Linked DNA regions of Arabidopsis thaliana. The protein of the gene in region 1 interacts with the protein of each later gene in a pairwise test. Each region holds a gene or a part of one and is shown in the gene's direction. Other genes may lie near its edges.

Evidence for each region.
Region 2: the proteins of AT5G60142 (region 1) and AT4G00250 interact in binary tests that used the Arabidopsis thaliana proteins (3 or more experiments, as listed by UniProt).
Region 3: the proteins of AT5G60142 (region 1) and SHY2 interact in binary tests that used the Arabidopsis thaliana proteins (3 or more experiments, as listed by UniProt).
Region 4: the proteins of AT5G60142 (region 1) and IAA9 interact in binary tests that used the Arabidopsis thaliana proteins (3 or more experiments, as listed by UniProt).

The regions. Positions count from the first base shown.
Region 1 is NC_003076.8:24,214,024-24,219,890, reverse strand, and holds AT5G60142 (AP2/B3-like transcriptional factor family protein), read left to right. Parts: upstream 1-2,141; 5' UTR 2,142-2,299; coding exon 2,300-2,312; intron 2,313-2,426; coding exon 2,427-2,497; intron 2,498-2,538; exon of another isoform or gene 2,539-2,577; coding exon 2,578-3,196; coding exon of another isoform or gene 3,197-3,222; exon of another isoform or gene 3,223-3,282; coding exon 3,283-3,374; intron 3,375-3,465; coding exon 3,466-3,711; 3' UTR 3,712-3,944; downstream 3,945-5,867. Other genes in the region: AT5G60150 (uncharacterized protein), read right to left, coding at 64-197, 310-473, 577-659, 780-1,033, 1,131-1,328, 1,506-1,680; AT5G60140 (AP2/B3-like transcriptional factor family protein), read left to right, coding at 4,540-4,552, 4,635-4,705, 4,777-5,433, 5,569-5,814.
Region 2 is NC_003075.7:110,786-116,499, reverse strand, and holds AT4G00250 (DNA-binding storekeeper protein-related transcriptional regulator), read left to right. Parts: upstream 1-2,517; 5' UTR 2,518-2,589; coding exon 2,590-3,549; 3' UTR 3,550-3,795; downstream 3,796-5,714. Other genes in the region: MEE45 (Transcriptional factor B3 family protein), read right to left, coding at 1-197, 273-394, 488-797, 877-986, 1,093-1,378, 1,476-1,529. UniProt on the Arabidopsis thaliana protein: Transcription repressor that binds DNA in a sequence-specific manner, 5'-GCCT-3', to regulate the expression of PGR. Acts as a modulatory component for the glucose-triggered developmental leaf growth process.
Region 3 is NC_003070.9:1,126,775-1,132,699, reverse strand, and holds SHY2 (AUX/IAA transcriptional regulator family protein), read left to right. Parts: upstream 1-3,010; 5' UTR 3,011-3,080; coding exon 3,081-3,565; intron 3,566-3,647; coding exon 3,648-3,956; exon of another isoform or gene 3,957-4,060; coding exon 4,061-4,136; 3' UTR 4,137-4,551; downstream 4,552-5,925. Other genes in the region: AT1G04230 (rRNA-processing EFG1-like protein (DUF2361)), read right to left, coding at 4,872-4,877, 5,027-5,266, 5,444-5,507, 5,738-5,852. UniProt on the Arabidopsis thaliana protein: Aux/IAA proteins are short-lived transcriptional factors that function as repressors of early auxin response genes at low auxin concentrations.
Region 4 is NC_003076.8:26,250,888-26,258,082, forward strand, and holds IAA9 (indole-3-acetic acid inducible 9), read left to right. Parts: upstream 1-2,520; 5' UTR 2,521-3,004; intron 3,005-3,059; exon of another isoform or gene 3,060-3,248; intron 3,249-3,536; 5' UTR 3,537-3,575; coding exon 3,576-4,117; intron 4,118-4,212; coding exon 4,213-4,439; intron 4,440-4,551; coding exon 4,552-4,693; intron 4,694-4,846; coding exon 4,847-4,908; intron 4,909-5,203; coding exon 5,204-5,247; 3' UTR 5,248-5,657; downstream 5,658-7,195. UniProt on the Arabidopsis thaliana protein: Aux/IAA proteins are short-lived transcriptional factors that function as repressors of early auxin response genes at low auxin concentrations.

The DNA.
Region 1 (5,867 bases):
CTGCAAATTTTTAGTGCATAAACTATTTGCTATATTGGTTTGCAGAGGGCAGCATAGCTTTACCACATTTCTTCTAGCTTGCTTAAGAGAGGGCTTAGGAATTGAAGATTTACTCGCCAGACTGGATTTTGTTTTACTCTTGGTGCTTGAAGTGTTTTTAGAGAAGCTTTCAGATCCTAAGCTCCTCTGAGAATTCTCTGTCATATCAGACAAAAAACCATGTAGCAATATATAAACAGGATGAAAAGTAACAGAACTAAAAAGGATATGAGATGAATAGTTTTTATTTGCTAACTGAAGTGAACATACTTAATTGAGTAGGTTGACTGTTTTTCGCTTTGATTGGACTTTGAGTAGTCCTTTTCATGTTGTTTCCAACTGTAACTGGGTCAGATTTGGTAGTAGGAACTTTAGATATGCTCAGCTCCCTGCAACGTGATGTTGTTGTATGCACATTTGCAGGTCTTTTCAGGGTGCAAGATGGTTAAGGTAAACAAGCAAAAAGAACACAAACAAGACCTGCAAAGGATATCAAGATTGCCTATACACTCAGTACTCAAAGTAAGAAAAGGATATGAAGATGAAGGAGGAGGCCGGGGACAGCCACTGCGCTTGGAACCACTCCTTAAATCCTGAGCTGAGATAACTTTTTTCTGGGCCTATAATGCAGATATTCGACATTTAGATAGACTGCGCCTCAAAATATATATATTTACGCAAGGAAAGAAACGACTTATGACCCTCATTAGCTCCACAATATTTAGGTCCAGTAAACTCACCGAGGAAGATTGGGATTTAGATGGTGATCCGTACTTGGGCATTATGCCACTGACAAGCTTCTTCTCTCTGTTTTTACTATTCACAGGCAAGTCGTTAAATAAGTTTTCTTCAAGTGCTTGTAGTCCTGGTGAAACATTACATTTGGAAGCTGACATTGACTCTCTGTACTCTTCCTGAATGGCAGCTAACCGATCTCCACCAAGATGGCAAGCAGTTCCAGTTATTTTAGATAACTCAGATGAATCCAAAACACCTGGTTCATGACCATATCACACATCTTAAGATTCTTAGTAACATAGACCAAATCTTTGACCTTTACTACTAACAGGAAATTGGTAAAAAAAAGTCACCTTCTTCCGTTGAAAAAGCTCTATCCCATGCTAAACTCTTGCGCAAATTAAACCCTGCATTCTTTTTCTTCTTCTTCATCTGTTGTCGCTCCACACTCAATTTGGGCAATTCAACTTTAGCATTCTCCTTTCCTACACTATCTGTATCAACTGAAGCGCATGGCTGCTCCCTGTTGTTGCTGGTGCCTGTTACTCTTCCTGCAAAAAGTATTAACCTTCATATATCCGCAGAATACACAACATTTATACTAATTTGCTATTTTATCAAATTAAGATTTAAACAATGCTAATTCAGATGCTTAAACACTCTAACAAAGGGAGAGAGAAATTATCAGAACGAAGCTCGGATCGAGAACGAGAAATTGAAGCGCTTACCAATTGGGGAAAAAGGAGGCCGAGTAGGAACGATACGACTAGATCTAGGGATTTGGAGAGGTGAGCATTTCAAATAACTCTTTCCTCGGCTCGAATTAGTTTTCTTCGGCGTATTCTTCAGAAGCCAATTATCTTCGTCGTCTTCTCCAGAGATATCTAAGAGATCCTTATCCATTTCTAGCTTCTCTTTCGAGCCCAAGATCTGACGATTAGGAAATCCGGAATCCTATAGCTAGGTTTTTTCAAACTTACACTGAGAAAATCTCTTCGGAAGTTGTAGGCGAAAATCCTAGTCGGTAAATCGGAAATTGTTCGGCCGATGGAAGAGACGACTGTTGATAGAATATCCCGGCCTCGTAAGCGGGAAGAGGTTGAAAAACTTGAAATTGAAAGAAGATCGGACCAACGTTCTCTATAATCTCAGGTTATTATTGTCATTTAAAGCAAATCGATTGGGCCGGACTTTAAAGCCCATTTATTTGAATTTTAAATTCTCGTTCACCCTTTATTGGTTTGGTTTGGTTAGGATAATATTTTTTCGGTTTGATTAAAATCATATCGGTTCGGTTCATGGAGCATTGAAGTAAAAGTAGTTAGCACATGTTTTATTTTTCCATTTGTAGCAATAAGCCTAGAAGACAATACAGTCTCTGTGTTATGCTACAAAAGGCAAAATCTCTAAAGCAAACCAAAAGATCGGAGATCTATTAACAAAGCTCTTTTACTTTTCTATTTTCAAGAACCATTTTCACCTTCACTTTCACTAAAAGAGTTAGGGTTTCAAAGAGGTGAAGATGATGAACAGAGGTTTCTTCTTTAGACTCTTGTTTTTATGTTAAGATCTTTATGCTATTGTTTGTTCTTGATTCTCCAATCACATAACCTATCCTATGTTCTGATTTTTTTCTTGCTTTGGAACAGGAATTTCTGTGGATGATTGTCTTCCAAAGTTCTTCAAAGTGTACTTACCTGATGATTCCGGAGATGATTTGGTAAAAATACACTTCTCTCTCTGTTTTTGGTTATATGTAGATTTTTAGTTTATTGAAACTTTTAGATCCTTCCTCTTCAGGAATTACCCATCTCTTTCAACAGCTTTTTACCAAAGTCGTTGCCTAAAAATGTAATTGTTAGAAGCATTTATGGAAACATCTGGAAAGTGGCGTTTAGGAAGTTTTGTGGTGATAGTGAGAGATTTGTTATGGTTAATGGGTGGAAGAAGATAGTCAAGGACGAAGATTTGAAAGGTGGAGAGTTCTTAGAATTTGAGTTTGATGGCTCTTGGTGTTTCAATTTCTGTATCTATGGTCGTGCAACGTGTAAAAGGCTTAGAAGTTCAGTGCAAATCACGGTTCTTGATGACAATGATGATGGTTTTAATGATGATCAAGATTATGGGGAAGAAGTTAAATCTAGTGAAAATTTCATAGTTCTTGATGATGATGATATTAGTGATGTTCAAGATTATAATGAGGAAGATACATCTAGTGAAGATATTACAGCTCTTGATGATGCTGATAATGATGATATTAATGATGTTCAAGATTATGTTGAGGAAGATACATCTAGTGAAGATATCATAGTTATTGATGATGATGATGATGATGATGATCAAGATTATGGTGACGATGATCATGCTGATGTTGAGAAAGAAAGATGGAGAGGAGTCAAAACAGAGAAAAAAAAGAAAGGTATAATAGAAACTTTTGTCTTGTGAAGTTAACTGAGACTGAGAGCATCACTGTCTTTTTATTTTCTTGCGTATAAATTTTGATAGGTTCTTCTGGAGAGCATGACAGACAATATCTGGATAATCACATGAACCCTTTCTTTACAGTGAACCAGCATCGGCAAATAAAATATAATATGGTAAGAAATGTGAAGAAAGTCTCATGTCTTTTTGCATTTTCATTAAAATAATGTACCACTTCTGTTTTATGATGTTATCTTTGTAATGCAGCTGCGCATACCAACTAAGGTCATAACGAAGTATGGCTTACACTTCCCTGAGTTCATCAATTTGATTGATCCACTCGAGAAAAACTTTGGTAAATTGAAGAGGAAAGTTAAGGGTCAAACAATCAAGGGATTCCGTAGTATAATCAGAAGGAATAATGTGAAGTTGAATGACAAGGTGATTTGTGAGTTAGAAAAGGAGATGGATGGTCTTGTTCGAGAAATCAAGGTCCATGTTATAAGAGGATGATCTCTTGATAAGGCTTTATGCGTTAACTCCAAGACATTATCTATTTTTACTTGAGAGTTTTTATATGAGTAGAGTACTTGGTTTTATGAATCTTATTGGTTTTCTCGGAACATAATCGATGTTGATGCTTTCTATACACTTCTTGATTTTGTTTGTTTGTCTGAAACATGAAGTGCAAAAGACGATCAACACAGTCTTACAATAATAATGTATACTAGAGCTATAGATTTTGGGAGAAATCATTATGAATGGTTCACACATCAGGGCTGTTTAAAACCTGCGAGTTCATGTAAAAAGAATGTTATTACTCTCTATGTGATCATAAGAAAAGCATTGGCATAGGAGGAGAATAATACTAAGATACTTGGAACTCTGCCACTTAACACTATCTCATTCTTCTTTCAAGTTTCAAGTTTCTTGTTCAAGAATTGAGATGTCACAAGTCCTTCTTTCTCTAATATACCCTTCTCGACTCTTTACTGTGGTTCTTTTGTTTAAGGACGATAATGTCATTTACACGATATAGATTGAACCAAACTTAAGGCCCATTTCTTGTTTTTTGTTTGGGCCTTAGCGATACCTTGGTCCGCTTAACGAATTATTTTTGAATAAGAAGAGTACTATTAATGGTTTGTTTTCCATTTGAAGGAAAAAGCATCGAAACAGAGAGAACCCTCTGTTTTTGCAAGTTTTTGCTACAAAAGGCCAACACCTTTAGATCAAATCACATCTGGAAAAACTTGGATCTGGAGAAACTTTGTTCACCTTTTTATTTCCGATCAAAATTAGGGTTCAGAGTATTTCCAAGAGCACAAGAAGTTGACGACAATGAACACAAGAGGTTTTTCACTTCTCTGTTCCTGATTCTTCCCTTGTAATGTGCTCTGTACATTGATGTTCTTCCTTTTCTTATTTTGGAACAGGAAATTACTCTAATGGTTTTACTTCAAAGTTCTTTAAACCGTACCTTCCTAGTGAATCCGGTGATGATCTGGTAATAAAACACACTTCTCTTCACTCTGTTTTTTGTTTTCTGGTTGCTTGAAATTTGTAGAAACTTTTCAGGTACTACCCATTTCTTTCAACAGCTGTTTACCAAAGTCTTTGCCTAAAACTGTAACTGTTAGAAGCATTTCTGGAAACATTTGGAAATTAGGGTTTAAGAAATGTGGTGGTGAGGTTGAGAGATTTGTTATGGTTAGTGGTTGGAAGAAGATTGTAAGGGACGAAAACCTGAACGGTGGAGATCTCTTGTCATTTGAGTTTGATGGCTCTCATTTTTTTAATTTCTCTATCTTTGACCATGAGACTACGTGTAAGAGGCTTAAGAGAAGTTCAGAGCAAAGCAAGGACATCATCAAAGTGGGATCTGATTGTGAAGAAGAATCTCAGGCTAGTGATGATGTTATCGTTCTTAATAGTGATGATTCTGACGATTCTGATAATGATTATTCTGTTGAGGATGATAATGTTGCTGAGGATGATGATGGTCTTGAGGATGAAGTAGATGTTGAGGCTGAGGATGGTTATGATGCTAAGGATAGTGATGGTCTTGAGGATGAAGATGATGATGAGGCTGAGGATGGTTATGATGCTAAGGATGATGATGGTCTTGAGGATGAAGATGATCTTGAGGATGAGGATGACGAAAGGCGGTATCTGGATGATCACGAGAACCCGTACTTTACTATGACACTCAATCCGAAGAAGAAGAGCCAATTGGTAAGAGAAAAAAAAACCTGAATATTTAAGATCTTTACACACTCTCCATTTAACATCTTTGGTTATGGATTCTTATGTGAATAAATTAATAAGGAATATCTCAATCTGTTTTATGATGTTTGTTTCTTGATGCAGCACATACCGGCTCATGTCATAAGGGACTATGACTTAACCTTCCCGGAGCGTATAACAGTCGTGGACGAAATGGGAGCATTGGAGAAAGCAATCAAGATTCAAAAGAATGGTTGCATCTTTGTCAAGGGATTTGGTAGTTTCATCAGAAGGAACAAAATGAAGATGACTGACAAAATGATATGCGAGCTTAAGAGGACTGGAGGTAATCTGGTTCACACCATCAAGGTCAAGATTATCAGCGGATGATCTCTTCACTAAGCTTTTGTGAGTCTTATGTGTCTTAGCTGTGAGTGGTTTTT
Region 2 (5,714 bases), on another chromosome or scaffold:
TTGAGAGTTATGATACTTCCAGCTCTTAGTCCATTGGCACTACAGAAACTTCTCCATCCTCGTTTGATGAGAGAAGTTCCGGATGATTTCTTTACTTTCAAATCTAAAGTCCATGATTTTCCCTTTTCATTAATCAGAATCATCTCTCCACATCTTTTGTCTACACCATTTTCCCTCATAAAACGCTTTGGAAGATACTGGAACAATACAACATAAGTTTCAGACACTAGAATGAGAGTTTCTTTTGGGATTCAAAAGTAAGAGTAGAATACCAGTGTGTCATAGCGTAGACTCGAAGGGGAGACATTAGCCACAAAACAAGAGGGATCTTGTGAAGAAGACTCTGCCTCTCTTGTTACATTCTTCTTCACTTTCTCCTTCCTTTGAATCTTTTCTGAAAAAAAGAAAGAAATAAAATCCATATGAGCACGTTTCTTGAATGTCAAGTATCATGGGCAGAGTTAGAGAAAGAAAGAACAGAACTCACCAAGGTTGCGCTCTGCATCGCTTTCCGGTTCTTCGGGAAGAGACACTTCATTAGCTTCCTCTTTTGGCTCATTGGGTAACAAACGTAGAACAAGAGTTCCTGCTCTTTTGATCAGTTTGAAAGTGTAGTTATCTCCAGCTTTAAGCCCATTGGCATCACAAAAACTCACCCACCCTCCTCTAACATAAACTGTTCCGTTTGATGGCTTTTGTCTCAAGTTAAAATTCCATGATCTGCCCTTTTCATTCATCAGAACAATCTCTCCAGATCCGACTACACCATTATCCCTCACAAAACCCCTTGGAAATCTCTGAAAAATTCATTAGAATACAACATGAGTTCAGACCCTAGAATGAGAGTTTCTTTTCGGGTTCTTAAGAGTCAAATACCATCAAGTCATAACGTAGACTCGAAGGCGCAACATTAGCCACAAAACAAGAGGGATCTCGTGAAGAAGACTCTGCTTCTCCATTTGGATTCTCCTTCACTTTCTTTTTCTCTGAAAAATAAGTGTTATATAGTCAAACTGGTTATCTCTACTCACTGATCCACATTCCAAAAGCAAACCACGTTTCTTGAAGAGCCAGAGACAGAACACAACTCACCGTCACCGAGGTTGTTCTTTTCGACTGAACACGAACCATATTGAATCCCACAACAACTAGGTCCCAACAGTGTTACATGGAAAGCCAAGTCACTCTCTTGTCTGAAAACAACAATGTCACCGATTCGAAGATCATGTGAGACAGCAAACTCTTTCCAACCGTCGGTGAGTCTCTGGCCATCTATCTTCACTTCCCAAGTTCTCTTTGACGCGTCTGATCTCAGCTTCGCCGTCTTCTGCTCATATCTTCCTTCTATATACTTCAAGAAGAAGGCTACAGGAATTGTCTGAAGCAACATGCAAATACAAAACCAGACTCATCTTTAGCTTCTCAGAGAGACATAGACAGAGATAGAAGAAGGGAAAGAGCGAGAAAGAGAGTACCAAGGAGGCGTGGAAGCCAGGAAGAAGAGGCTTGAAGAAATGTTGATGCGCCATTTTCAAAATCTTGAGAAGTCCTAAATGGCTAAATCTGAAAGTCGACGGTACAGTTTCTTGAAGGAACGAGTGTAATAAACTCCAACTTGAAGATGACAGTTTATTGGTGTTGTTGAAACTATGAGAGACCATTGATATACTCAAGAAGAGACCATTGAAGAGACTTTTATTGTGGTTAAACACTCTGGTTCGGTTCAGGACTTTCAGAATTCATATGTATTGGATTGAAATTTCTTGAACCGAAGTAGACCGAAAGTAAAGTTCGGCTCGGTTCAATTTTAATAGCATAAATTTCGATTTGGTTCAAGATAAAATATTGGTGTCAAATTGGAACCAAAAACCAATTTCAGGTCGGTTTACTGTAAGAGAGAGTTCATATTTTTCAATAATTTTAATTAAACTTAAGATAAAAATTGGTAACTTCAATTAAATTAGAATAATCGTTTGGTTTCAGTTCGGTAACTATAAACCGAACCGAGTACTGAAGTATTACTACAGTAATTTTTATTGAGTTTACTCAATAAACCTAATCGACTAATCCTAACCGAATTCATATTCCTAAATTCTAATTTACATTTTTTTTGTCTATAGATGACACTAAATTTCACTACTTACAATCTTTTCCACTTTGTTAATTTCAATAAAGGTTTCCCACTTGATCAAATGATCTTTCTAAATGTAAAAATATAAAGCGACTTTGTAAAATTACTTTTAGTACATATATTTTTGTTTTACAACAAAGAAACCTTTCATTTTGTATACCAAGAATTACAACAAGAAAATCTAGTATGAATTTTGTTATACAAATTTCTTATACATTTGGGCAAAAAATTGTTTTTTTTTCCCATGTTACAGTGTTACATATAAGGATGATGGTTTATTTATTTTGTTGGGCTTAATTAGTTTTTGTTGTTGAGCTTTATTTACTTTAATTGTTTCTTAAATATAAGAGATGTTACAGTGTAAAAAAATAAAAAGTCTCGCAACTCACAAACCCTAAAATTGTCCCTTCAGTTCCCACTTGGTACTCATACCCGAGAATCTGAAAGAAGAAAATCCAATGGCTCCTTTGGAAAGTCCAGCAACCGCTTCTTCAAGCGAAGTTGAGAGTTCTTCTGAAGAGATCTTTAAGTCTTCTTCTGAAGAAAGCAAACCCAAAGATCCTGTCACAGTTCCTTCCTCTAAAACCCTAAAATCTCCTTCCGCCGCTGTGAATTCTAAGACAGATTCTTCTGATGACTCAGAGAAGCAGTCATTCGTCTTAACCAGGCGGAAGAAGAAAGAAGGTGCTGCTGAATCACCGGCGGTGAAGTCAGGGAAGAAGCGAGCTGGTGAAGGAAGCACCTCAAGGGACATGCATGTCAAAAGAGTTAAGAAAGAGGACGATAACAAAAAGGCGAATCCTCAGAGAGTATGGAGTGAAGAAGATGAGATCTCTCTTCTACAGGCAGTGATTGATTTCAAAGCTGAGACAGGTACAAGTCCTTGGGATCATAAGAATGCGTTTTTTGATATCGCCAAGAAATCTATAAGCTTTGATGTTAGTCATGTCCAGTTCTTTGACAAGATTAGAAGATTAAAGAATAAGTATTTTGTTAACCGGAAGAACAAAAGTGGTGAATCGAATCATGATAAGAAATGTTTGGGTTTGGCTGTTTTGATTTGGGGATCTGATGGTATGAACGTTGAATCTCCTGTGAAGAAAGATGAATCTATTCTTGTTAAGGGTAAGGCTAATAGCAAGGAGAAGAAGGTGGAGAAACCTTTGGTTATAGAAGATGAGCAAGTGATTCTTGGAGCAGATTCGGAGTGGTTTGAGGAGTCTTTTCTTGTTCCGGTTATCGCGAATCTCGGTTTGGATGAGTATTCTGTGAAGAAGAAGTGGAGCAAGGTGTCTCTGGAGACTAAGAAGAAGATTCAAGAGAAGATGAAGGTTGTGGACGCTAAGAAATGTGAGTTGTTGTTGGCGGAGATGGATGTTTTGAAGGATGTGACTTCGGTGCTTGCTCAAACCAACTAAGAAGAAGAAGAAGAAGAAGCTATCTTAGGGATTGTATAGGGTTAATCTAAGGATGTAATGCCCTCTTTTGTTATCTATCTTAGGGTTTATCTTTCTATCTACGTTTATGGATTTTTAGTCTTTTGGATTCTCGTGTGAGAATTAGCTATAACAAGATTAAGATAAGTTGTCTAACAAACCTTTTGGTCGATGGTTGTAATGAACTTTTAGGATTTTGTAAATGTGCTTCTTTTTTTAATGTCTCTCTACTCAAAACTCATGACCAGAGTTATTACAAAACAAAGAAACACACAATAGAATGGATTCACAAACATATTCAACAAGAGTTCTAAATAGCTTATATGGTGATAGGTTCAACCTCATTAAACAAAATGGATTCTGAAATGATGTTTGTAAATTGTATATTTATTGTTTATGATAATTACGTGCAGTTTGAGTTATTCTGGTGACACTAGTTCCTCTTTCTCAAGTACCAAATGCAACCAAAATAAAACATATACATTTAGTTACAATCTTTCACAGAAGTTATTATGTCTATAATAAAAAAATTAAGAGATTCTGCATCTTGAAACTGCAAAGTAGGTGAGGAAATAAAAAGAAACATAAATTGTGTTTATGAGCATGCTTGTTGTTAGAGTCCCAATATGTAGTAGAGTAGCTTGCAAGAAATCAGAGTTAATTATGCGTTTAAGAGCATGCTTGTGTGTGTAAGTGTTTCAAGTAAAACTATAATAAGTATGTGTGTTTGTATCTTGTAAGAGAATCACCCAAGTTTTATTATCAAGACATCATGCTCTTAAACGTGTTCTTGTTTCTCTCTAAAGAAAACAAAAGCAAAACAGAGTGACAAGAGAGTGAGAGTGCTGACCTCAAAAGAATGTTGGAAGAGGTAGTTTGAGAGTGAAAGTGTGATTTTCAACAGATATCTTCCTCACGTAGAAGAAGTTGAATGGTTAATATCAATATTGTTATGTATAACCAAGAAAGCTATAGAATTGCACTATGATATTGTGAAGCTGCAGAAAAATAAACAACAGTAAAGTACATACTTGAACAAGAAAATGAACTTTGTTAGTCCGCGTACTTGTCTTAACTCTTATGCAGGGGTAGCCAAGCAATATGAAACATTTAGTGTGGCCCATTTTTTTTTTTTCAAATTCTTTAACAAAAATTATTTACAAAATGGCCCCAATTTTATTGATTTTAACGATAATTGGCCCTAAATTTTAAAACCTTTCAAAATAATCTTGGATTTTTTGTTTTTTTGTATGTTGCCCATAAAACCGTCAGGTCTTAGGTAAAACATCTATAAATTAATATTCAATAAATTAATAAACTTTATAAATTAATAAATTCATTCAATCCCGAGTTGAAACCAGTGTAAGAATTGATACAAATCGATAAATTAATAAAATAATAACTTTTTGTGAAAATCATATGTAAATATTTGGTCCCATCAATATTATAAATTCACTAATTTATATATATATATATATAGATATATACTAAAATATGAATATAGTATTCAATTTGTATTAATTCTTTGTAGAATTTAATTCTAATATTTTTACTAAATCGAAAAATTTAGTTTTGGTTTTTAAACTTGATAATTGTTTAATAATTGTAATTGGTTTCAAAAATATTATTGATTATAAGAAAAGAAAAAAAATACCTTTTTTGATTGAATATTATAAGAAATTACATAATTTGTAAAATTTCTTTATAAATTAATATCTCTTCAAATTAATAAATTTTATCAATCTTAAAATTATTAATTTATAGAGATTTTACCTAATATGCATTTTTAACTAAAAGTCATAATGTTATATATTTTATTTATATTTAGAGAATAATATATATATTAAAAAAAAAAAAAAAAAAGGTTGACAAGTGGAAATATGTGACCGGCAATAGTAAGTTAAGTTGACCAAAACCAAAACCAATAAAATCAAAATCGAGAGACTCTTTCTTCCCCCAAGCGAAGAAGCGATGATCAAAATTTTACAACGGTTCCTCCATTTTCAGCGAAGGTAAGTCTCACCTAATTCCTTGGAACTAAGCTCCGCTGTGATCCGAATGTACTTATATATCTCTCTCTTCTGATCAATTCGCAAACCGCCATTGTTGCTTTTTTGAAATTTCGCTTCTGATGAAGAAATGTTGAT
Region 3 (5,925 bases), on another chromosome or scaffold:
GTGGTTAATTACTAGATTAATTAAACCCCCAATTTTATTAATAGACAATCTTGTAAAAAAATTAATTTGTTATCTCTGCGTTTTTGGTGATGGTCCACAGATTATTTCTATACGTGTTATGATAACTAAACAGTCTTTATTTTCTCAAAGAGATTTAATTAAGGTTTGTTCTTATTTTATTTATATATACTCATTTGTAATCATCGTGAAATGGTAATCAAATATATTGGGATCTCAAAATATCTGATATTGGTTGATCCCCAAAACTTTAACGGTGAGATCAAAGACGATTTGCAGAATCCATAAATTAGGTAAATAGTGGGATGAGTAAGAGATTTGGGGGATCGCTTTATTGATTACATTTGACCGGTAAAGATATTCTCTTTGTCCAAATAATTCCATAATATTTTGACAAGGAAAACATTTTAAACTCATACAAATACTTTGAAGATAATATTATTTATCAAAAGTTCAAAACTATCACTGTATCACATATTGACGCAAAAGTTTTTTTTTTTTTTTTAACGTTCTATAATAACCTAAAGAGTGTCAAACATTGACTAATATTTGAAGTTTTTCTAATGCAAACTAAAAAAGAAAAAAGAAAAAGAAAAGAAGAAACAGATCCCTCAAATTAATGAGGAAACCCCGAGGTTGGTTTACGAACCCAAGTTGAGTAAAATAAAAGATTAGTAGTAATATGTGGATAAGAAAATTGTAAAGTTGGCTTTATGGTTAAAGAAAATGGGAAAAAAATAGTGGTGGTTAGATTGAAGTGGTCCAGATACGCCGTCAAAGCAAAATAAAACTCCAAAATGTAGCGGCCCAGCCCATTTAATTACTCCTATAAAGATGGTCCAATTGCAAATGAAAATGTGTTAAAATTTCGGAAAGCATTATTTCTACTACGAAGGAATTTAACTAACTTAATAAAGAAAATATTCTAAACTTTGGACCACACCAATTATTATACAATGTGTTGATTTCTATTGTAAATCATTTATATCAACAAAAGAGTCATAAGTACACTCTAATTTCGTTGGTTAAGTGCTAAAAATCTTGCGCGGTTTAGCTTTCGGATTAGATTTTATAAAGAGTGCTATAATCAACCAGCGATTCTGTGATCAGATGTGGGACCTGCATCTTCTGTCATTGGTTACACGTGTACGGTTGATACGGTGGCTTGAGATCTTCTACTGCTCTGTAGGGCAAGCAAATATTTGAGTGACATGTGTTATGATTAATCATGTCGGCAAATACAATTACGAACGAATTATCATCATTATCTTCACTTCTTTGGCTAAATTGCTAATGGATATTGGAGGAATTTATTAGGTTTTAATCCGACATATAAGAGTATATACAAAAGAAAAATATTAATTTTTCAAATTTTATTTTAGAAAAAGTTTCATGAAATATTTTGCGTTAACTGCTACTATAGTAAATTCGTGATTGTTACTTAATGGTCTAATTTATCCTTTAAAAAACCAAAACAAATCATTTTTGTGTGATTAGTTGTTGTAGCTAAGACATTGTCATTTTATTTTCAGTATAAGTTACTAAATTCGTTTATATATATAATTAAATTGCAAAGTATGCTACAGTATGACATATAATGAGTGCAGAAAAATAAAAGATGATGCCATAATACTATAGTGAATGAGAAAAGCCTGCGGATATTCATGCCTAATAAAAGTCTTTAACTCCTTATGGATAAGATATATATGGGAATACAAAACATTTAATTTATATTTATTTTTTATCTTACGTTCCACTGACGGATTATAAATAAATTTTTTAGGAAAAACTTTATATTTGTTTGTGTGTGCAAACTTTATATTACATATATTAGTCATCAAATGCTTCTATATATTGTGACCAATTCACAAATAATGATATAAATATATATATATTCCCATCAGTTTTTCTTGGTATAAATACAATTAATTCAATTCAAACTTATGACCTGTTCTGTCAAGAAAACGAATCTAGTAATTTATGACTGAACCAAGAAGAGAATGTTTCTCACCGTACAGAAGAAATCAATGCGTGATGAGTACTGAGTAGCTGTTAGCAGTCACCTCTAATTGTATGAATTTATTTTGTTGAAATATGTTCGTTAATCGTTAGTACTTGTTGAAAGTCACTACGTACGTATATATGTAGATAAAAAAAAAAAAAAAATTCTTTTAGGATTATTGTTACACGTATAATGTAAAGTTATAACATAAGTTCTTAACAACTCTTTGCATAGTACCGATTCGGACTTCGATTTCGAAAGCCATGCATGAGAAAACCAAAAAATGGAGCCAAAACTTAGATCCGGTTCAATTCGAGTAGGTTATGTCAAAGACGTAAACATCTACAATAGGAGCTCCATATAAGTAGAATACAACCAATGCCACGCTGTAACATAAACAAAGACAGCGAGAATCTGTTAAAGATCTCTCAGGTTCCAAAACAAAACTACAAGACCCCATTATGATGTTACTGACATTTAACTAAAGCCTTGTGCTAGTTGATCCTTAAGGAAGATGTCCTGTCGTGATGCTCAGTTTTATTTCAAATTCATATATACGTGTGTGTGTGTGTGTGGTGATCATGATTAATAGGTTAGAGACAGAGAGACAAAAGTTGTGGGCTTTAACAAACCCCAGTAAAGAACAATAAGTAATTTTGTCACGTAGGCTCTGTTTTTGGCTCTTCAACACCCAAAGTACCTGTTTTTTGAAGATGTGAGACATAAATTATTACTTATGATCTCAAGTCAATAAACTCATCAAATCTGAACTACCCACAATCCAAACATTGAACACTAGCTACCTTTACATATAGAGTTAATTAACCATCCATCTATTGAGAAAACGAGTAAAATATGTATTCGGTTGTTGTTCTTGGTAAGAAAAGATTATGAGCTTACGATCCGAAATTTCTTGGTTGTGATAAGTTATTAATGGGAGATAGAGAGAGGTGATATGCCCATATGGCATACCACATGTGGTGGGGGATTCGAAGATTTGATCTGGACCGTCTATCACAAGAAAGAAAGATGAAAATATTTTGTTTTTGGGTTTGGACAGATGGGAGAAAAAGAAAGTGTCCCCACAAATGTCCCCAAGAAGATGGGACACACTTTTGCCTCAAAGTTGCTGTTACTGCTACCGACAAGCTTAGCTTTTTTTCCTTTGTCCTTAATTCAGAAAACAGTTTCTTCTCTCTCTACCAGTATCTATCTTTATTCTCCTTTAACTTGTATAAAACACTCAGCTTCCTCGAAGCCTCTCATCTTCATCATCAGCAGCTTCTCTATATCTCTCCTCTCTTTCAAGGATAATAACCAAAAGCTTTTCTTTTTATCTTCTCCTGCAATTCTTGAAGAAATGGATGAGTTTGTTAACCTCAAGGAAACAGAGCTGAGGCTGGGATTACCGGGAACAGATAATGTATGTGAAGCAAAAGAGAGAGTTTCTTGCTGTAATAACAACAATAAGAGAGTACTATCAACTGATACTGAGAAGGAGATTGAATCATCATCAAGGAAAACTGAAACATCCCCTCCTCGAAAGTAAGTTAAACTCACACAAAAGTCTCTGAATCTGTAGTGGTGGAGAATTCAGTTGATTGACCGTGTTTCTTCCTTTTTGCAGGGCTCAGATTGTTGGATGGCCACCAGTTAGATCTTACAGGAAGAACAACATTCAGAGTAAGAAGAATGAATCTGAGCATGAGGGTCAAGGAATCTATGTGAAAGTAAGTATGGATGGTGCACCATACTTGAGGAAAATAGATCTGAGTTGTTACAAAGGATACTCAGAGTTGCTTAAAGCTTTAGAAGTGATGTTCAAATTCTCTGTGGGAGAGTACTTTGAGAGAGATGGATATAAAGGTTCAGACTTTGTGCCTACTTATGAAGACAAAGATGGTGATTGGATGCTCATTGGTGATGTTCCATGGGAGTAAGTCTTCTTTCATATACCTGTCTGAAAACAATTTCCACAAAATCAAAAATCAGAAACAACAATTTTGTAAGTGTTCTTATGGGTTCTGTTTGTTGTTGCAGGATGTTCATATGTACGTGCAAGAGACTAAGGATCATGAAAGGATCAGAAGCCAAAGGTTTAGGCTGTGGTGTATGAGATATATCTTCAAGAAATCTAACAGAGACACAAAAGAACTTGAAGAAAAATAGAGTTTCTTTTGGTTCAGAGAAATCTCTGTCTGTGCTTGGGTTGTCGGGTTTCTCGGGCAAGATCTATGTTCATTGGATTGAATCCAATTCATAGCCTTTATTTACCTCATCGGTAAAATTCAAATGTAAACATGCTTAATGGTCTTAAGCATATGAAACTGGAACCTAATTACATTTTGTTTCAGAAACAGGGCAAAAGGTTGTCCTTAAATCTTTGGTTATGTGTATTACATTAATTAAAGTGTTATGAAGATTGAAGAGTTGTTTTTATATTTGTAGCAATTCTGTTTTGCGTTCTCATTGATCAAAGAGATTTTCAAGCAATACCCATTTTCTATTTTGGTTCACTAGTTCTTAGATCATATTATTGATGGTCGAGGTTGGATTACTCCCATTAATTAATACAATTCGATCAAAGCCAACATGAACATAAATCAATAGAAACAAAAAAAAAACTTATCTTATATGAGAAATACGTTTTGCCCAAAGCTTAGGGTTCATTTCATCAGCCAAAAACAACAGACACCTACCTCTCTGCTTTCATGGCAACATATATATACGCATTAGATCCAATCAGAAGATGTAAGACTAGACAGGCCGTAGTAATGAGTGAAGCTTTTGGAATTGATGAACTGTGTTACGAGCTTCTTCGTTTTCTCAGACATGGCGGGAGAGACCTTGTTCACGCCTGAAACAGCAAAACGAATAATATATAATCAGCTTGTAAAATGCAGATTCTTTAGTTATAGAGTTTGAAAGATTGATGCAAATGTACCAATAAGACTTTCAACAAAAGTACGAAACAGAATTCCAGGAAAGAGTCGAGAGAAAACTCACCTGTAGCTTCTTCTTCTTAGGCCTTCTCTTCCTCTTGGGTTTGTGAGCATCAGAATTAGAACTCAAGTTGCTACTCTGACTTGTATGCGAACTAGTGGCAGCATGTGAAGACTGGCTTCTTCTATGTGAAGTGTTGCTGGAGGAAGGTATCTCATTCCTCTTCACAGATGAATACTGACGAGATGTTGATGCAAACCTTGACCGTGGTGGTGGCATTAAAACCCTAGTAGAGTATGGCTTCTACAATAAAAGAAAAGAAATCACTTACCAAAATACTAACATTCAATATATAACACTTCATTTTCATATTCTTTGATCCCCCCCGGAATTGAACAAGTTACGTTTCTGACTTTCTCGGCGTATAAGAGTCCCCAGTATCATGCAACAACAAAACTGTGAGTAGCTTTCGCATCATACCTGATTTCTTTCGTCACTGGACATGCTCGATGTTGCTCTACCAGAAGCACTAGAAACCGGCTCTCTGAGAAAAAAACGCTGACAACAGTCAGAGATGATCTTTACTGGAAACGTTAAGCCAGAAAAGAGTCAACAATCGACTTCTTCTAGCATAGAAATCATATGGAATTTAGAGGTGAATACACCACTAGCCTCGTTGACTCTTCTTCATCTCTCATGTTATACACTAATACAATCGATAAACTACACTAAGTATTGAGATTAAAGAAACTAATCCACATTTACAAGGCGTACTTTGTGCTTTTATCAGTCCACTCATCATCCGCATCTGCTTCGTCACTTGAACTTCCGTTGACAAAGAAGTCATCGTCACTCAGGTCCAAAAGAGCATCATCTTCGCTCCCTGTCTCTGTTTTTCACACGAACCAAAAAATATTAATGATCAACATAATCAGTATTTTTTCAAAAGCCAACAGAAGGTC
Region 4 (7,195 bases), 2.0 Mb from region 1:
TGTAGAAAAATCCAAACCTGTTCCACAAGCAAAAACTAAGCTGTATGGGACCATGTTGATATAGACTAAGACCCTAAGCGATATGTACAAATACAGGTGTTATACATAGAAAGAAAAAGAAACCGTTTTTTTCTTTTTCTTATATCTAATTCATATACAGCTAGATATACATGTAATTTAAAATGTTATCTTTATGTAGTAATTTATTGCGAGGGATGAAATATCTGACGGAGGTTTTATGTGAAAACTCGAAGGTGTATTTGATTTTCGGTCAAATATATTTTAATGGCTCTCTCGTATATTGATGATCACGGCTCGGTACATTGTCCTATTACGAACTCGATAAAATTAATTATATTATTTTGTTGTGCAAATCCGATTTAGTAGCTCGTCGTTTGACCCTATATTGAGACATATAAAACATATAACAATTTGCAATAAATAATTAGTTGTTTTTGTGTATTTCTAGTTAAAAAAAAATTGAAAAAATTGTGATACAAAGAATTATAAAAACGTTGACAGCAACATGACTGACTAAACGAAGAAATATCTTACGTACATTACATTTTTTTTGGGGTCAACACGTAGATTATAAATTCAACAAATCCTTAATACGAGAGAGGTAAGTATATTATGGCCCATCAAGAAGGATAGTGGCTTATGGGCCTATGTTATAATATGAAATAAAAGCCCAATTATAAATGAATTTTTATATACTAGAGTGCAAAGTCTGGGCCCAAAGTAAACAGTCTAACGTGTCTTGTCGTTTGATTTCCTCCACTCTAATTATAAATTAATTAATTACGGGGAAAAAGATTAATTAACTTTAGTGAATCCATCATCAATCAAAGACTAATAAAATAAGCGTGAAGGACAAAAGCACTACGGGTCTCATTGTCTTGTCTCAACCCGCATTATTTGTACTCGCAAATGCTGCTAATCTGATCTACTGTTTACTTTTGCATTTTTGTAATAATTTATCTGTATTACTATTATTGTTTTTTACCAATCACTTTTTAATTAGACACATATTTTCATGTACTCATAATTTTAAATATAATGTCTGATGGTAGTTGTAGTAATTTGAAATAATTAATATCCTTTACTTATTATACAGACGATTAAACAAAATATGAGAAAGAGAAAATCAAAACTTTTTACGGGGAAGGTTAAGAAATGCCGTATTATTATTCTGGACGGTGAATATTTTTCTTTTACTTTCCTCTTTGTGCATAAGGTGTTAAAGACTTTTTTTTTTGATTAATCGTCTTTAAATCTTTGGTAAAAGGAAAGAAAAAAGGTTAAAAAGAATAGAGAGGGGTAAAAAAGAGATAACGTGAGTGGTACGGAAGAGTGATGATGAAAAAAAAAGAGTCAGAGAAGGTCATGATGATGATGAACGGACACAGGCCTCTCTTACTCTCTTACCATCAAATCCTACGGTCAGATTGAGATATTTTGTGCTTCCCATGCGTGTTCTTCAATCCCATTTCACCCCTTTTGTTATTATTATGCTCCCCTTTCCCCAATTCCCATTACCTTCCTTTTTTAATTACTTTGAATTTTTTACAGTAATTTTTTTTATGTATATTACACCCGACTATAATTTTTTTCTTTTTTTCTTTTTAACACGAAAAGAATGTAACCGACTATAAAAATTAACATACATAATTTACCTGTTTATTACCAACGAATTTACTTTTTTACTTTTTAACCAATCATCCTTATTACTATGGATTAAACGTTGTGTATGATGATCGTAACAGTGCAATTCAGACATATTTAATACTCCAGAAATATGTATGTTGTTCACATTCAAATTTTGTACTTCTAACAATAACACCACAAATTATACTTTCAAAAAATGAGATTTTTTTTTTAAACTCAATTCGGACAAACTTGTATGTATCTAATTTTTGTCATGACTATAATTTTGTTTCAATCAGTTTACTTATTTAAGTGCAAATTCAACAAAAATAAAAAACAAAAATCTAGCACGTGACGTAACCTTATGAAAAAGATTAATCTATAGTCATTATTAAAGTTACTTATACTATTTACCCATTCATCTATCTAGAAGACTACAATGAATGCCAAACCAAAAAAAAAAAGCAAAATGAAAAATTCAAGTTTGGGGGGACTAACATTTCTCAATGGGCCCCATCCAGTTGGGCCAATCTAAGTAAAAAAAATTGAAAGATAAGGAAACGTAATAATGAAAGTTAAAGAAATTAGGAAGGTGGCGGAATTTAATTAAATTTAATCCGAAAGAAAGAAAGTGATTATAAAAAAAGATTAACAAGTCTTAATTAATTTTAGATTAATAAAGTAGAGATAGAGAGAGAAAGGAAGAAAGTGGAAGAGGTTAGATGTCCCATTCACCACCCGGCAAACCGACTTGGAATGCCGCTTTCTTGTCCCCTCCTCACTCCTCTTTTTCTCTCTTTACCATTTTACCCTTCATTCCTCAATCACATTATCATCACATAGAGGTTACATTAGTCATTAAAAACAAAAGGATAGAATCGGAATTTAATATTTGCAGACAACCATCCCCTTTCGGGTGGAGCCAGAAAAGTGGCATAATTTTGTTTAAAGATCCGACTCCCGACATTTGTACATCAACGGTTCATATCTGCTGATTTAAATCCGACGGTTTAGAATTATCAGCACGATCAAATCTGAGCCGTTGGATTAGAATCCATTCGTAAATAAAAATACGCAACTTTTTCCACTTATTTTCTATTCTACCACTTTGTTTAGTTATTTTAATTTTAATCTCGGCTACGAGTTTCTGGGTAATGATAATTAAGCTTTTTTCTGCTTTAATGGAAGGACCTTGACACTTCTCTCTCTCTTTCTCTTTGCTATTCATCTTCTACAGTTTCTTAAAAATTATACTCTTCTTCTCCAAAATATCTCAGACTCTCTTATTTTTGATCGTCTTCTTCTTCTTCGTTGTGAGCTTCCATTTTTCATCCAGGATTTGTTTTTTCCGTTTGAGGTAATTATGTCTTCTCTGTTCTTCTTATACATAGTTTCAAATCCGGTAATTTTTAGCTTGTTGTTGTTTGTGTGTGTAGTTAGTAGTTATTAGATCTATTAGCTATTGAGTTTCTTTGCTGATTTCCTCACTATTTCTATGGCGAATTTTGGTTTGTTTGAGCTGTTGGCTTAAACCTTGCTAGGTTTAGTGATTTGTAGATAGAATTCTGTGGAAATTCAAATCTGAGATCAGCTCGAAAAATGTAACTCAACGGTGTAGTTTCTTCATCTGACCTTAAGTTGACTTCTATTTATTTTTAGCTTTCCATTTTTTTCTCAGATTGAGCTTTATTTTGCTCTAAATTTTGGTTGTGAGTTTTTCATAGATGCAATCTACTTTTGAAACCCTAATTGATACGGTTTCGAGTTTCTTCGAATTTTGATTGAAATTGAGTTCTTGATTTTTTCTGGTAATTTAGGGTTTTGTTTGAGGATTTGTTTATGGTTATGTGAATTTAATGTGGAGGACTTTGTGCTGTGTAAATCATCAGGTAAAGCAGCTTTGCAGTTAAAGAAACCTTGAGTATCCAATGTCCCCGGAAGAGGAGCTACAGAGCAATGTATCGGTGGCTAGTTCTTCACCTACTAGCAATTGCATCTCCAGGAACACTCTAGGAGGACTTAAAGAGCATAACTACTTGGGTCTCTCTGATTGTTCTTCTGTTGGAAGCTCTACTCTCTCTCCCCTTGCTGAAGATGACAAAGCTACTATCAGCCTCAAGGCTACGGAGCTGACACTTGGTCTTCCTGGATCACAATCTCCTGCGAGAGACACAGAGCTTAACCTTTTGAGCCCAGCAAAGCTAGATGAGAAGCCATTCTTTCCTTTGCTTCCTTCTAAAGATGAGATATGCTCCTCCTCGCAAAAGAACAATGCATCGGGAAACAAAAGAGGCTTTTCTGACACAATGGATCAGTTTGCTGAAGCTAAAAGTTCAGTGTATACTGAGAAAAACTGGATGTTCCCTGAAGCAGCAGCCACCCAGTCTGTAACAAAGAAAGATGTGCCACAAAACATACCCAAAGGACAGTCTAGCACTACAAACAATAGCTCTAGTCCACCTGCAGCCAAGTATGAATAGAAGATAGGAGCATTCGTTCGATTTTGATATGGATTACTTTCAACAGCTAGCTAACTGGTGTTTTTTCGGATTCTGGAATTTTCAGGGCACAAATTGTCGGTTGGCCTCCAGTGAGATCCTACAGGAAGAACACATTGGCCACTACTTGTAAGAACAGTGACGAAGTTGATGGGAGGCCAGGTTCTGGGGCTCTCTTCGTGAAGGTCAGTATGGATGGTGCTCCTTATCTGAGGAAAGTTGACCTGAGGAGCTACACTAACTACGGGGAGCTTTCTTCAGCCTTGGAGAAAATGTTCACCACTTTCACTCTTGGTGAGATGTTTCAGTGATTGCTAGTGATGTGTTTGAAAACCTCTTTCTATTTAAGGATCAATGAATGAGTGCAGTCAAAGTAGTTAACCTGCACTGTTTATTTGATGTTTAGGTCAATGTGGATCTAATGGAGCTGCTGGGAAGGATATGCTTAGTGAGACCAAGCTCAAGGATCTTTTGAATGGAAAAGACTATGTGCTCACTTATGAGGATAAGGATGGTGACTGGATGCTTGTTGGAGATGTTCCGTGGGAGTAAGTTTCCTCTCTTATATTCAAAACTTGTTAGAAGCTTTCTCTACTCTCTGCCAGATATCTTAGAATCAAATCTAACATGCCATAGAAGATTATATCATGGTGATTGGTATAAGCGCTCATGAGTGATTTCTGATCCGATGTATATTACAGGATGTTTATTGATGTCTGCAAGAAGCTGAAGATAATGAAAGGGTGTGATGCTATTGGGTTAGGTAAAGTCTATTCTTCTCTCTGCTCCTAAGCTACAACGTAAACTACTATCTCTACTAAAACCGATTACAAGTAGTGTGTATGATGAGATTAGTGGTTTGTTGGTGTGAGTTACTTGTAGCTGATTTAGAAATTTCAATTCATGTTTGATCACTCGTCTTCTTTTGGGAGTAAATACAACAAATTAACATGTAAATAAAATCGAAATTAAACTGATTTCAATTCATGTTTGATCACTCGTCTTCTCTGATTCAAAATGTCTTAATGATTCAATGTGGTGAACTGGTGATATTGCAGCTGCAGCTCCGAGAGCAATGGAGAAATCGAAGATGAGAGCTTAAAAGATGGAACATGACAAAGCTTTCTAACTATACAAAATATGTGCGATCTTTTGGTGGTGTTTTTAAATTTCAAAACATCAATATCTTTAGTTTCTGAATTTTTAAAATGAAGTAAGTAAGACTACGAATGTAAGGAAATGAAGAAGAATTAAAAATGATCTATTTTTGTTGTTTGTTTGTTGCTTTAGTCAGTAAACTGGTCGTTGTTTTATGTTTTGTGTTTGATTTGGATGTGTGGTTGACTTCTACCTTTGAGATATTATTTGATGTAACGTTTTTGTTATTCTCTTCTTTGCTTCTTCTCGAGAAGAGAAGATAGACAATCCGGTTTTACGATTTGGCTTTCTATCATTGAACATGGAGGTTCTTCTTCTGCATTTGCAAAACAATCTTAAATATTAATCAGTACTTAAATCTTTGAGGTGGATTGTTAAATTCTAACACATTTGAATGCGGAAGTGGTAAACCTACGTTTTTCTCAATGTCTATGACTCTATTCTAAATGGAATATCAAGATTAATCAGAAAGAAAAAAAAATCTTTTTATAACTGTCATAACTAAACTGTGCTACCAAATCATTGCCACCAACGGATCTTTAAACCAACTTGAATAATTCACCTGAAGAACCAAAAGCTACAAGACAAATCAAAGATAAATAAAAGTAATTTCGCCGGGAAAAGGTTTTGATATCATTATTTCACTTTTTAACCTTCCATGAAACTTTGTTTACCTTAGCAAGCATGGGCTGCGTACAAACTCATGATAACTATATAGTACAATCCCCAAACGAAGATATCATAAATTTCAACGAATCAGTTTTAGATTTAGTGAATAACTATAGTTTAATAGTATCGAATAATATCGTTTGAGAGAAAAATAGTCAAAGATACATGAACATAAATTCCCATATACTAATTTCCCATTTCTCATTCAAGGAACGTTTATTATTTTTCTGTTCCTGAAGGTGGAAGCATAGTGCGCCTCTTTGGGTTTGGCAATGGTGGTTTGCTTATTTGTTTTATGAAAATTATTTTTGTGATATCATTTATTGTTCATTTTTAATAATTCCGTTAGCGTTGACAAAACAATATGATTAAACCCCACCTAAAATGAAATGTTATATTCAACTGTCCAATTTTTCAAAGAGGCGTTAATTAATCAATTCCAAGGCATATATTCGATCAAGATAATTAAAGACTCATATAGTACTCTCATAGTTTAAGAGAACCTACGGGTCGAATTTAAATCACTCTTGTTACTTTAAAACTTTAATCCAAATAATGTAGTATATATCTGTGATTCTTGTAGCTAGCTTCACGTGAACTTAATAGTATACACATAAACAACAATCATTGGTCGTGAATCTCATTTAATTCGTTTCGCTTTGATGCACTTATTCGAATGGGACATACTATATACATCCATATAAGTTGATAAACTATATAGTAATATTCAATGTTTTTAAAATTAAATATATGAAATAGACTTAGGGAATGACATGTCGAATTTGTCTCCAAAAGATATGAATTGAATTATGCTTCTCAGTAATGGAACGTGGCAATACCTTTATCACTCATCTATATATGGTTGTTCCCCAAAATTATTTCTTCATCAAACGAGAAAAATAAGATTGTAAATGTAAATGATTTGATCATCTCAATGTTGCATTCAAGAATAGTATCTATAATATTTAGTTATAAGCATTAGGTATTAGGTCAATTATATTCAACTGAGTCTACGAATCGAATTGCATATTGCGTAAAAATTCAAATAAAAGAAGCTAGATAAATGAATATACGTACGATTACGAGAATGAATGTGTGTTTCTTCGATTTGGTAGACCTTCAACAAACCCACCGAATTGATGGTATCCATAGATTTCTTATCAGTTATCAGTCATGGGAGAGATTTACGATCTCATATATATGGACAAAATATATCGTATCAG